Arabidopsis thaliana: one gene and its partners. The protein of the gene in region 1 purifies or fractionates together with the protein of each later gene. This does not show direct contact. Each region holds a gene or a part of one and is shown on either strand. Other genes may lie near its edges. The genes, in order: AT1G24360, Hop1 and AT4G00600.

What was found.
Region 2: the proteins of AT1G24360 (region 1) and Hop1 fractionate together in Arabidopsis thaliana (co-fractionation; one large-scale study listed by BioGRID). This does not show direct contact.
Region 3: the proteins of AT1G24360 (region 1) and AT4G00600 fractionate together in Arabidopsis thaliana (co-fractionation; one large-scale study listed by BioGRID). This does not show direct contact.

The regions. Positions count from the first base shown.
Region 1 is NC_003070.9:8,639,009-8,642,762, reverse strand, and holds the start of AT1G24360 (NAD(P)-binding Rossmann-fold superfamily protein), read right to left. Parts: upstream 2,182-3,754; 5' UTR 1,944-2,181; coding exon 1,781-1,943; intron 1,695-1,780; coding exon 1,552-1,694; intron 1,313-1,551; coding exon 1,259-1,312; intron 819-1,258; coding exon 738-818; intron 658-737; coding exon 612-657; intron 544-611; coding exon 449-543; intron 374-448; coding exon 341-373; intron 138-340; coding exon 3-137; intron 1-2. Other genes in the region: AT1G24350 (Acid phosphatase/vanadium-dependent haloperoxidase-related protein), read left to right, coding at 2,450-2,580, 2,733-2,889, 2,976-3,026, 3,165-3,257, 3,341-3,394, 3,591-3,665.
Region 2 is NC_003070.9:4,170,409-4,174,162, reverse strand, and holds the start of Hop1 (stress-inducible protein), read right to left. Parts: upstream 2,129-3,754; 5' UTR 2,059-2,128; coding exon 1,180-2,058; intron 1,045-1,179; coding exon 756-1,044; intron 614-755; coding exon 528-613; intron 427-527; coding exon 203-426; intron 119-202; coding exon 52-118; intron 1-51. UniProt on the Arabidopsis thaliana protein: Mediates the association of the molecular chaperones HSP70 and HSP90. Mediates nuclear encoded chloroplast preproteins binding to HSP90 prior to chloroplastic sorting.
Region 3 is NC_003075.7:254,962-258,715, forward strand, and holds AT4G00600 (Amino acid dehydrogenase family protein), read right to left. Parts: upstream 1,650-3,754; coding exon 1,391-1,649; intron 1,282-1,390; coding exon 1,184-1,281; intron 1,096-1,183; coding exon 859-1,095; intron 778-858; coding exon 610-777; intron 530-609; coding exon 359-529; downstream 1-358. Other genes in the region: AT4G00610 (DNA-binding storekeeper protein-related transcriptional regulator), read right to left, coding at 1,996-2,982. UniProt on the Arabidopsis thaliana protein: Catalyzes the oxidation of 5,10-methylenetetrahydrofolate to 5,10-methenyltetrahydrofolate and then the hydrolysis of 5,10-methenyltetrahydrofolate to 10-formyltetrahydrofolate.

The DNA of each region.
Region 1 (3,754 bases):
ACATTTATATTCCTGCTCGCACCTTCTCTGGCAGCAGTCTTGGAAAACGAAATAACTCCACCTTTAGCCGCTGCGTAGTTTGCTTGACCAATATTACCAATGAGACCAACAACTGACGAGATATTGATGATTCTTCCCTGCAATTAAGTATACCATGAATTATGCTTGTCATAATATCACTTCTTAATCTTATAGAAGAGCTCAAAAAAAAAAAAACGTAGTTGTCTTTTTATATATCATTTCTCCCTATGCTTCAGGGAAGGAGTAACATGTCAAAACCAATGACAAACGTGTGAGGATATAGACGGTGACATGGCATATGACAAGTAAAAAGTGTTACCCTTTTTTTCTTCATCATGATCTTTACTGCTGCCTAAAGAGAGTAAACGAGTATCAGTCCCTGAAAATCCGAGTATCAAAATTTTAGCAGTATTGCAGGAATACAAACCTGAGTACAGAGAAATACACCAGTGAGATTCAAAGCAATCACTTCGTCCCATTGTGATTGCTTCATTCGTATTAACAAGGTATCCCGAGTAATTCCTGAAAATATGTAGCCACGTCAGTAAGGTACTAAGTAAAACTTAATGGGAACCAAGGTTTTCATTTACCTGCATTGTTAACCACAACATCAATGGTTCCCCATTTGTCAAGAGCCTGCAGAAAAATAACAAAAGGAAAATGAAAAGATGTATAAGGATTAGGGAATATAAGATGGTGTACAGTTGATCACTCACGGTTTTCATCATCGCATCCACATCAGTCGCTTTCGAGACATCACCCCCAAAAGTGATAGCCTGGCCACCATATTCTTCAATCTACAGTTGCACAGAGAAGAAATGTCAGAGATTACATGAAATAAGTTGACATTGTAAACGAAAACACTATTAACTGCAGATGACATTTGTTAGCCAAAAGATAATATTTCATTTGGCAGTGTGGATCAAGAGCAAAATCACAAAACGCATTTGAGAAGCATAGGGCAATAAGAAACATTTTCCAGGTCCAGAAAATTCATTTGTCTACATTTCTTGTCCCAGAAACCAAAACTGTTTAAAGGTATTATCAACGTTAAACTCGAAAGGTACCACATTTATTTTCGTACCAACAACAACATCCTTCCATACCAAACACCTATGCATTATTTGGTCTAAACCGATATCCCGAAGCAGAAAAAGAAGGAAAGAGCTGAAAACCATTCTAGATACTTGGTGCATGAATCATGTAAATTGCAGTCTAATCCAGGGCAATGAATCACCTGTTTAGCAACTTCTTCAGCCTCTTTTGCTGACCTAGCATAATTCACCAAGACCTGCAACAGAAACAGAGTGTTTGCTTCCAGATCAGAAAATTTATGTGTAGCAATTACGGATATAAACCTATTGATGTCTCCATCACTATAATGACAAAAGAAATTGAAAGCAATCCTGTGTTAAAATCTTCATAACTCAAGACTAGTAATATCATGCAAATTGAATGCTCGAAGAGTACATATACAGATCAAATCTAACAACAAGGCGCTCCAATATTCCGAATAGTGTTAAGCCTAACCTTGCAGCCAGCTTTACCCAAGGCTAGAGCAATTGCTTTACCAATCCCTCTCGAGGCACCAGTGATAACGACCACTGGAGATTCCACTTTTTGAACAACTTCCCCTGGTGATTGCTCAGTAGCAGTAGCTTGAGCTTTCACAACTGTAATACCACAAAAATGTTGAGAATTGAGAGAGATCAAATCTATGCCAAAACCGCAAAGGAAGAGAGAAGAGGAATGAATATACCAGAGGTAGAAAACGGCTGCCGCGATCTACATCGCAGCATTCCGAAATGAGGTATCGCAGAGTGAAGCGGAGCCAATTGTCGGATTTGAGAGATCTCACGGAAACCTAGCTTCGCGACGGCTTTCAAGGAGATGAGTCTCGGTGCTGCGACGGCGGCGGCCATGGCGAATCTGTTGTTAAAGTGAATCCGTACAAGTGAACCTCGTAAAGATCGACCCAGTGGAGAAGAAGAAGAGAGAAAAGTCTTAATTTTGTCTTAGTTTCTGCTCAAACAATAATAATATATAGAATTTCAAAAAAGCGATACAAACGAAGTTATGTCAAGTGTGTAAAAGTCATGTTTATAGTTGGGGCAGGTCGTCGAATAAGAGGAGACTCGATTTCACGAATAGAACTGACCTAGGTATTCGGGTTTTGTATCGGATACGGTTCATATTTGTTCGGATGCGGGTAATTGTATAATATATAGTTTTGTGGAGCAGTGTTTAAAAAAAAAATTGGTCAAAGAAAAAAAAAGAAAGACAAAGAGGATTGAACGGTAGACGTAGACGCCATTGGAGTTTGAAAGGGAATTAGTCGACGTTTTATGGATCATTGTCGTTTCGGTGTCATTTTCTTCTTCTTCTTTCGCTAGCACGATTTAAAGCCTGACTAGATCCATCATCGGCCATGGAGGATTCTACAGCCACGGCTACGTCTTCGTCTTCCACTCATTATTTCTCCATTTTCACGAATTATCCTCTCATTTCCGCCGTCACCTCTTTCACTATCGCTCAATTCATCAAACTCTTCACCTCCTGGTACGTTCTCTCTTTATATCTCTGTTTGGATCAGACTCCGATTAAATCTATATGTGCCTGGTTCCTCAATCTTTGGTTCGAAACGGTACATAGGAAATTATAGTATACGTTAGATGAGAAAGGATCTTTACATGGTTTCCTAGATTCTGTAGGTATAGGGAACGGAGATGGGATCTCAAACAGCTTATTGGGTCTGGAGGAATGCCTTCTTCGCATTCAGCGACCGTTACAGCTCTCGCTGTAGCTATTGGTTTACAAGAAGGCTTTGGTGGATCACATTTTGCCATTGCTTTGATTTTGGCATCTGTTGTAAGTTGGATACTTTCTCTAGTTTAATCAAATTGGCTATTAAGGAATCAAGTGACGATTAATATGTGAGTGGTTTGGGTTGGTAGGTGATGTATGATGCTACCGGTGTTAGATTACATGCTGGTCGTCAAGCTGAGGTTTGTTCATTGCTGCTCTAACCTTTCCTTTGTTTCATCTTCTAACTTGACTGGTTTGATAAAAGAACCACTATTGGTTTTGTCATGATGCATTTGAGCTCTGGTATCCTGATCTCTGGGGTCTGATTCATTTTTCAGGTTCTCAATCAGATTGTATATGAACTTCCTGCAGAACATCCGCTGGCTGAAAGCAGACCTTTGCGGGAACTTCTTGGTCATACCCCTCCCCAGGTATGTAGACATATGACTTGAAAAAGTCTTTTCATATATGACTAGCAAGATATGAGATTCTTTTAGCTGTTACATTTAGCAAGATAGTTACAGAGTTAGGGGAAATCATGAGTACAAATAGAGTGCTGAAGGAATCGGTGAGGGGGATCGTGTAATTGGGAACAGAGTTGAGGGTCTTTTGGAGGCTTGTGTGAGCTGATGGAACTCTAGAACAGACCCTAGTTTGTGTTTACTTTGGTTGATAAATGAACTACTCTTTGATTTGTAACCGTGTTGATATCAATGAATTTCTAGTTCTCATCAGATTCTGTTTTCCATTTGCTGAGAATTCAGGTCGTTGCTGGTGGAATGCTTGGAAGTGCTACAGCAGTCACCGGATACTTATTTTTCAGGATAGCTACAAGCTAACGTCAAGAACATGCATAGACACAACTCTTCTGCTTCATTGCCTATTGAAGCCACTGGAGAGTACCAAAACAGATTTACAACCGAATCCG
Region 2 (3,754 bases), 4.5 Mb from region 1:
TCAATCACAAATGGGGGGAGAAAACATGAGAATCATCAGAATGTAACTAACCTGTCTCTCTTTCAATTCCTCAGGAGTAAGGTCTCCGCGATTAGCCTTGTTGATTTGTTGTACACATCTGCAGAATAGATTTGAACCACATTAAACAAATTCATGGCAATAGATAGAAAAGTTAATAATCTCTGTGTATCTGTGTATATACCTTTTAACACCGTCAAGAAGTTCCTGATTACTAGGATCATGCTCGAGACCCGCTTGGTATGTTTCCATCGCATTGTCGTACTCTTTGAGGAAGAATTGGACTGCAGCTTTTCTGCTGTATCCTTTAGAGAAGGTTGGATCGAGCTCAATACACTTTTCTGCATCCTTTAGTCCTTCAGGCATTGCACCTAGCTTAGTGTAACTAGCAGCTCGGTTGCTATATGCCTAACATAGGTGCAAAAAAAGTACGAGTTGCTCAAACAGTCGGAATAGAAAATCATTGTAGAAGACCTTAAGAACATATAAATATGATGAAGTGCCCTTACTTTATGGTCATTTGGGTTCCTTTTGATTGCTTCGGTGTAATGTTTTATGGCCTCAGGATACTTCTGCTCCTTGAAGAAATCGTTACCTGTATTAAATACACCACAACAGCAGCAGTAAAAACGCTAATTCATTCTTGTTTTCAGGGTTCTATAAGCTTTCTTTTCCCACACACACACACACACACACACACAAAAAAAAAAAAAGAGACTAATTGCTAAAGCAATCACCTTTTTCACGCTCTTCATCCCCTAGCTTAGGATCGAAATATTGCTTCTGTTCCCACTCTTTCTTTGCTCTTTCCGCATCGTTAAGTCTCTTCAACGTATCAGGGTTACGGTGCTCTGTAAGAGCCTTCTGGAAAGCTTCAATGGCAGGTTCATAGTCTTTCGAGCATTTGGCCATCTTAGTCAAAGCAGTCCCTTTTCTAGTCAAAGCTCTAGCTACCATCTTGTAATCTGACCTAAGCTCTCTACCCCTTTCCACAGCCTTGTTACAATCCTCAATGCACTCATTGTACTGAATCAAAACACAATGACATTAAAAACTAATCACCATTGTAGCACATAACAAGCAAATCATCATTCTAGGCTTCTAGCCTATCAGCAAATAAAGGGACAAAACAAAAGAGCATTACACATATGAAAATCATACCTTTCCCATCTCAAGATAAACAGCAGCACGATTTGTGAGGTACGAGATGTCTTCATCATCAATCTCAATAGCAGTAGAATAATGCTGAATAGCAGTTTCAAAGTCCTTCTTTTTATACGCAGCATTCCCAAGCTCTTTCTCCTTTTTAGCTTTCTCCTTCCTCTCTTTCTTCTCCTTCTCCTCTGTCACCTCCGGTTCCGGTTCAGGCTCCGGTTCTCTCTTCTTCTCAACCTCAGGCTCATTACTAGAACTCTGACCCATATCAGACTCAGGAACCTCAGCCTCATCTCCCTGAGGCGGCGGTGGCCTAAACTTAACATTCAATAAAACTCCAAGAGATTGCATCACTCTCTGATCCTTCAAATACAAATTAAGACTGCTAGGATTCTTCTGAATCTCCTGCATCATGTTAACAAAATCCGGCTGCTGCAAAAAGCCTCTAGTCGAAGGATCAGACGTAAGCTTCGTCCACATCTCCGGTCCTTGAAAAGCATCACCAAACGGATTCGGTGCAGCTCGTGACCTAGCAACAGACGCCTCCGCATCAGCCAATCCAGATTTCAACGCCTCGTTAGTCGGATCGACATCTAAACCTTTCTTATAAGCAGTGACGGCTAACTCAAACTGGTTTAACCCTAAATGAGCAGCACCGAGACGGCTATAACCTTTAGGCCAATACGGTTTGAGTTTAATCGTCTCTTTCGCATCGGAGAGAGCTTCGGCGTATTGATGAAGCGACGCGTGAGCAGCGGAACGGTTTGAGAAGAGGACGTGATTGGTTGGAGCAAGAGCTATGGCTTCGGTGAAGTGGTTTATAGCCGTGGTGAAGTCACCGGAAGAGAAAGCAGCGTTTCCTTTAGCTTTAGCTTCTTCTGCCATTGTTTGAATCTGAGATTTTTGCAAGTCTCTGCAGCTTCTTGGGAGACTACTCTCTATAAGAAAAGAACACTTGTTTGGGGTTTTGAGAAATTGAGGGACTGTTTGGATATGAGGATAGAATTTGTTAGTGGATATTTGTCCGGGTTTATAATTATCCTCGTTACGTTTAATAATAAAGAATCTTATAAAACGATGTCGTTTTGTGTTGTCGTGGAAATCCCGGTTATCAGCAGACCCACGATTTATTCACCGGTTCCATTGTTTAGAGTTTCATTTCTCCGGTTCGATTTTGTTTTTGTATTCACTTGTTCTTCAGTTCATTTAAGAAATAGTGAAAGCTCCTGAACTGATCTCACTTCTAAGTGAGAACTGTTGCTTGAGATTGAATTTGTTTTCATCACCCATTTCTTGTTACCAGTCTCATAGCATTTTTCATCATTATGATACATTTCTTACTTGTGATTTTCTTTGCTAAGGAGACATGCATGTTTTTAGTAATATGGAATCATAGTTACAAGCACCTGGATTAAAGAAGACAAGAAAATCTTGAGGTCAAGTTTTCTTTAGCTAAATACGTTCGGTGAAGTTTGTCTACGAGTATAGAGTTTTGTTATCGTACTTTTGTTTACTTTTGTTTACTTTTGTCTACAAGTTTTCTTACTTTTGTTTTGGGGTTGTGTGTGGACTGTTTGGATACGAGTATAAAATTATATTGTATCTTAAGAATAAAATTACTAAGAAACGGTGTCGGTTTTGTACTGTCGTGGAGACTCCGGTTATTGGTAGACCAACGATTTCTTCTCCGGTTCGATTTTTCTTTTTGTTACTTGTTCGTCAATTTCGTTCAAGAAATAGTGAAAGCTATTGAGTTGTGTATTTCACATGTAAGCTCTTGAGATTGAAATAAACTGCATCGACCATTCCTGTTACCAGGCTCATATATAGCATTTTAAATAAAATCAAAATCAAAATCGAAACTGCAAAATCAAAATCATGGCTTATTTAATTTATTTTCAATACACTTAATTAAAAGAAAAAAATGTCGGTGTATATAGACACATCATGCTTAGATCTAGAGAGTTATTTTCATTATCTTTTGTTACCCTCTTTATTTTAATATGAGTCTTTTTAAATTTTTGTTCATTAATTTCTTTATCTTATGATTACTACTATAATTTCGTATTATTGTTCCGAAGAAGACATATAAACCAAAATGCAATCATATCTCCCATTTCCATTTACATCTTACATTCTCTAAAGCATATATAAACGAAAATATAATAAATGTAACTTGTAATAATTTGACACACGGCTTGAGCTGGCCAACTATGAAATCATGAGGGTCGTCGTCGATGTGCATATTTGTTTCTGCAAAATGGCTGACTTTTACACTCATACATACTCATACAGTCAACTCAAAATAGAATTCAGTCTTTCTTGAAATATCATCTATAGGTTGACAATTAAACCAGTTTGTCCAAAAAAAAAAGGTTGACAATAAAATCATATATATAAAGTTTATAAACCATATGCATGCTTGCTGTTGAATTTGACCCCAAAAAAACCCATATATATGCTGATTGATGTTCCAAAAAATTGTTCCTATGAATTAAAAAAACAATTCCGTTCAAAAAAATTTAAATTTCAGATATCTACTTGTCACTGGGTTTACTGTTTATCTCTTGAATTGGGTAAT
Region 3 (3,754 bases), on another chromosome or scaffold:
TTCCAACATCAATCGTAATGACTTCATCCTTAAGCTATCTTCCAAGACTTACATTACGTTAAAAGATACATTTGATAAAGCAAAAATGCTTTTGCCAATCACCACAGTTGCTTCATGGTAGTTCTACTCCCAAAATGAACAAAAGCTCACACACAAACTTATAAAGATCCAAATAATTATCTAGCAAAGCCGCAAGATAATCAGGGAACTCACAATCTGGATAAGGTAACCTCTAAAATCAAAGAACAAGAACCGAAATAATATTATTTCTGACTTAACGCTAAGCAAAAATCATTGGCTTCAAAAAACCAAAGTAAGATTTGTTTATTTAAAAAAAGGCGAGCAATCATCTTTGAAGTCACTGGAAGTTGTGAATTCTCTTGGCTGATGTTAAAGTGTTGGATAGAAGCATGGCTATGGTCATTGGTCCTACATCACCAGGAACAGGTGTGATGGCTGATGCAATTTTGCTAGCCTCCACATAGCAAATGTCTCCAACCAACCGCTCTCCACCGGCAGCACTTGGATCCTGCAATTCATATTACTTTCACATACTGTATTTGATTTGATCATTCATTATACTACCATATGTCAAAAAATTCCACTCACCTCAACAGGTTTAATCCCAACATCGATGAGGACTGCACCCGGTTTTATCCAGCTTCCTCTGACCATGTTTGGTTTCCCAACAGCTGAGATTAGGATATCAGCTTGTCTTGTGAGTTCTTCAGGGTTCATGGTTCTTGAATGGATAATGCTAACGGTTGCATCCTCCTTCTACATTTAGAAAATAAACATCGATAAAGAATGTTGTCCTAACCAGAAAAAATGGCATATTGAAGAAGGAATCATCATTACCTGCAGCAACAGAGCAGCTGGCATACCAACAATGTTACTCCTTCCAATAACAACTGCTCTTTTGCCTTTGAATTCAATGTTGTATCTGTGCAACAACTCGATGCATCCTTTTGGAGTACATGGAACGAATAAAGGTTCTCTACCACGCATGGCAAGCCGTCCAATATTTAGCGGGTGAAATCCATCAACGTCCTTCTCTATACTAACCGCATTCAATATGTTCTGTTCATCCATATGCTGCATATACACGACATCCCAAAACACCGTTGTAATTTACTGTTTATTTTAAGTTATGATGAAGAATATGAAGATAGACTTTGTTTACCGATGGTAGAGGCAACTGAACAAGGACTCCGTGAACAGAAGGATCATCATTGAATCCTGATACATATTTCAACACCTCTTCTTCTGATGAATCTTCAGCTAGACGAACTTGGACTGATTTAATTCCGACGGATTCACAAGCTATTTTCTTGTTCCTCACGTAAGTAGCGGATTCCTTGTTCTTTTCCAACAAGGATTACTGCTAAACCAGGAACCACACCGATTGATTCCTTCATTCTTGAAACTTCGATTTTGATATCATCTCTAATCTTTTTGGCCTCAGCCTTTCCATCAATTACAATCGCAGATGGAGAAGAAGAGGAGCGAATGGAGAGAGTGCAGCGCCAAGTAGACGCAGTTGTCCGTAAGCTGAATTGGCTGACGCTCGGGCGGGGGAGGAAAACACCATTGCGGTTGTATAAATGGATGAGACGCGACGTTGTGGAGGAGGAGCAATCAGTAAACATCATCGACGCCATTTGTTTACTAGGCAAACAGAAGAAAACAAAGTAGATTGTTTCTAAGTTAACGTGTGTGTAAAGGTAGATATAGAAGATATGTACTTATCTTAAATCCATTAGGAATTATCTCCTAGAATCATTATTAGTTTATATCATATCATAATTATCTAACGATTTCATGTCTGTAGTAACAAAGGAAGAAGACTAAGATGCAAACAAAAAACCACCTATTTTTGTTATCCAAAAAAACATCTTTAACATAAAACATATGAATAAACGAGAAAGCCATAAAGGTTCCAACACAAAACCAAAAAGAAAAACATAGGCAAATGCATCTCTAAACAGATAAAGACTAAACATATTTAGCCATCAAAGATCTCATCTCATGCACAACGTCAATCTTCTGCCACGTCGTTTTGAGCTCATCAGCTTGCATGGACTTCACCTTTTCTTCTATCCTCTTCCTCTTCTTCACCGGTACCAAACTCCAATTCTTCTTCCATGTCTCTTCATCAACCCCCGGACCCAATTCTTTAAACGCACCATCAACAAACGACCTCTCGAACCAATCACTTTCTTCATCAACCTTAAGCTTCTTCTTCTTTGGCTTCACAAGAGCAGTAGCATCACCATCACTTACCCAAATTATCTCAGCCAATTCGTAACACTTCTTATCATGCTCTGTAGTAGTTTTCTTGTTCTCAATATACTTTCTCTTCATAGACCGGATTTTGTTAACGAACTGATCAGTCTTCACCTCAAAGCTAATCGAATCTTTAAGTTTTTCGAAAAAGCCATTCATGTCCTCGGAAACATTCTTACCTGTATCCTTAGCAAATTTGATCATTCCTTGAAGAAAGACGATCTCGTCTTCATCAGTCCACAATCTCTGAAACAACAGTGGCTTCTTCCCCGTCTCTGTTTCAGTCTTGGCTCGTTCCTCCTCTGGTTTTCCTTCACTTTGTCTCTTCTCATTCGAAGAAGAAGGAGCAGCAGCAGCAAGAGTCATCGGCTCAGCTTCAGTGTCAGACTCACTCTCCGATCCCGACTCTGAATCGCTGGAAGGCTCATCTTCCTCCTCCTCCTCAGATGAAGTTGATGCGACGGCTTCCAACGGCTTCTTGACCGGAGATGTGACACCCGACGGTTTCTTCGCTGGAGATGCGACTCCCGACAGTTTCTTTGACGTAGATGCGACGTCAGATGACTTCTTCACCGTTGATGGAGTAACCAAAGTCTTGTTCTTGGCCATCGGAGAGAAACGAGAGAGAAATTTGGTAGGGTTTTTAAATAAAAAATTGAGAAGTTGGTCAGTTTTAAGGTTTTGCACCGAAACCATATATTGCATTTGGTTCTTTCCTTAATTACAAGTATCATAAATCTTTGACCAATTTTACGGGGTTTATGGTGTACATCTAAAATTCAAAAAGTAAATGTTAATAAATCTAATTTTGGTAACTGAATTTCCGATTGGTATTTTTAGTATATTAAAAAAATTAAAACTAAATGCTAACTAATCGAGTAATCTTTCTTTAATTGTTTAATGAGATCAATGATTCAGTTAATCAGTAATTACTAATCGAGTAATATCTTTTTTATTTAATTACAATTATCATAAATCACATTAATTGTTTTGACTAATTTTACGGGGTTTATGGTGTACATTTAAAATTCAAAAAAACTAAATGCTACTAAATCCGATTTTGGTAACTGAATACCTTCTTTTAATTTTACGGGGTTTATGGTGTATAATACTATAATCCCTCTTTTGTAAAAAAGAAGAAAGAAATTTAAACTCTATAGAGTTTGTTTTTGGAGCAAAGATGCTAGAGTTTAAATTTCTTTATATTCTTCAGAGAACTCTCTGTCCCCAAAAAGGATTACTGCTAAACCAGGACTGATTAGTTTCTCCATTCTTGAAGTTTCGACTCTGATCTCCTGCATGATACTTAGTTCCACAGCCGTTTGATCAAATACCATCGCCTCATCAGCTGAACAGAAAAGTAAAATCTTAAGAGTTGGATATCTGAAAATACGTAAGCAATTGGATGAAAAGGTTTAGTCTATACAAGAGGAGCGAATGGAGAGAATGTGGCCACGTCCGGGCACAG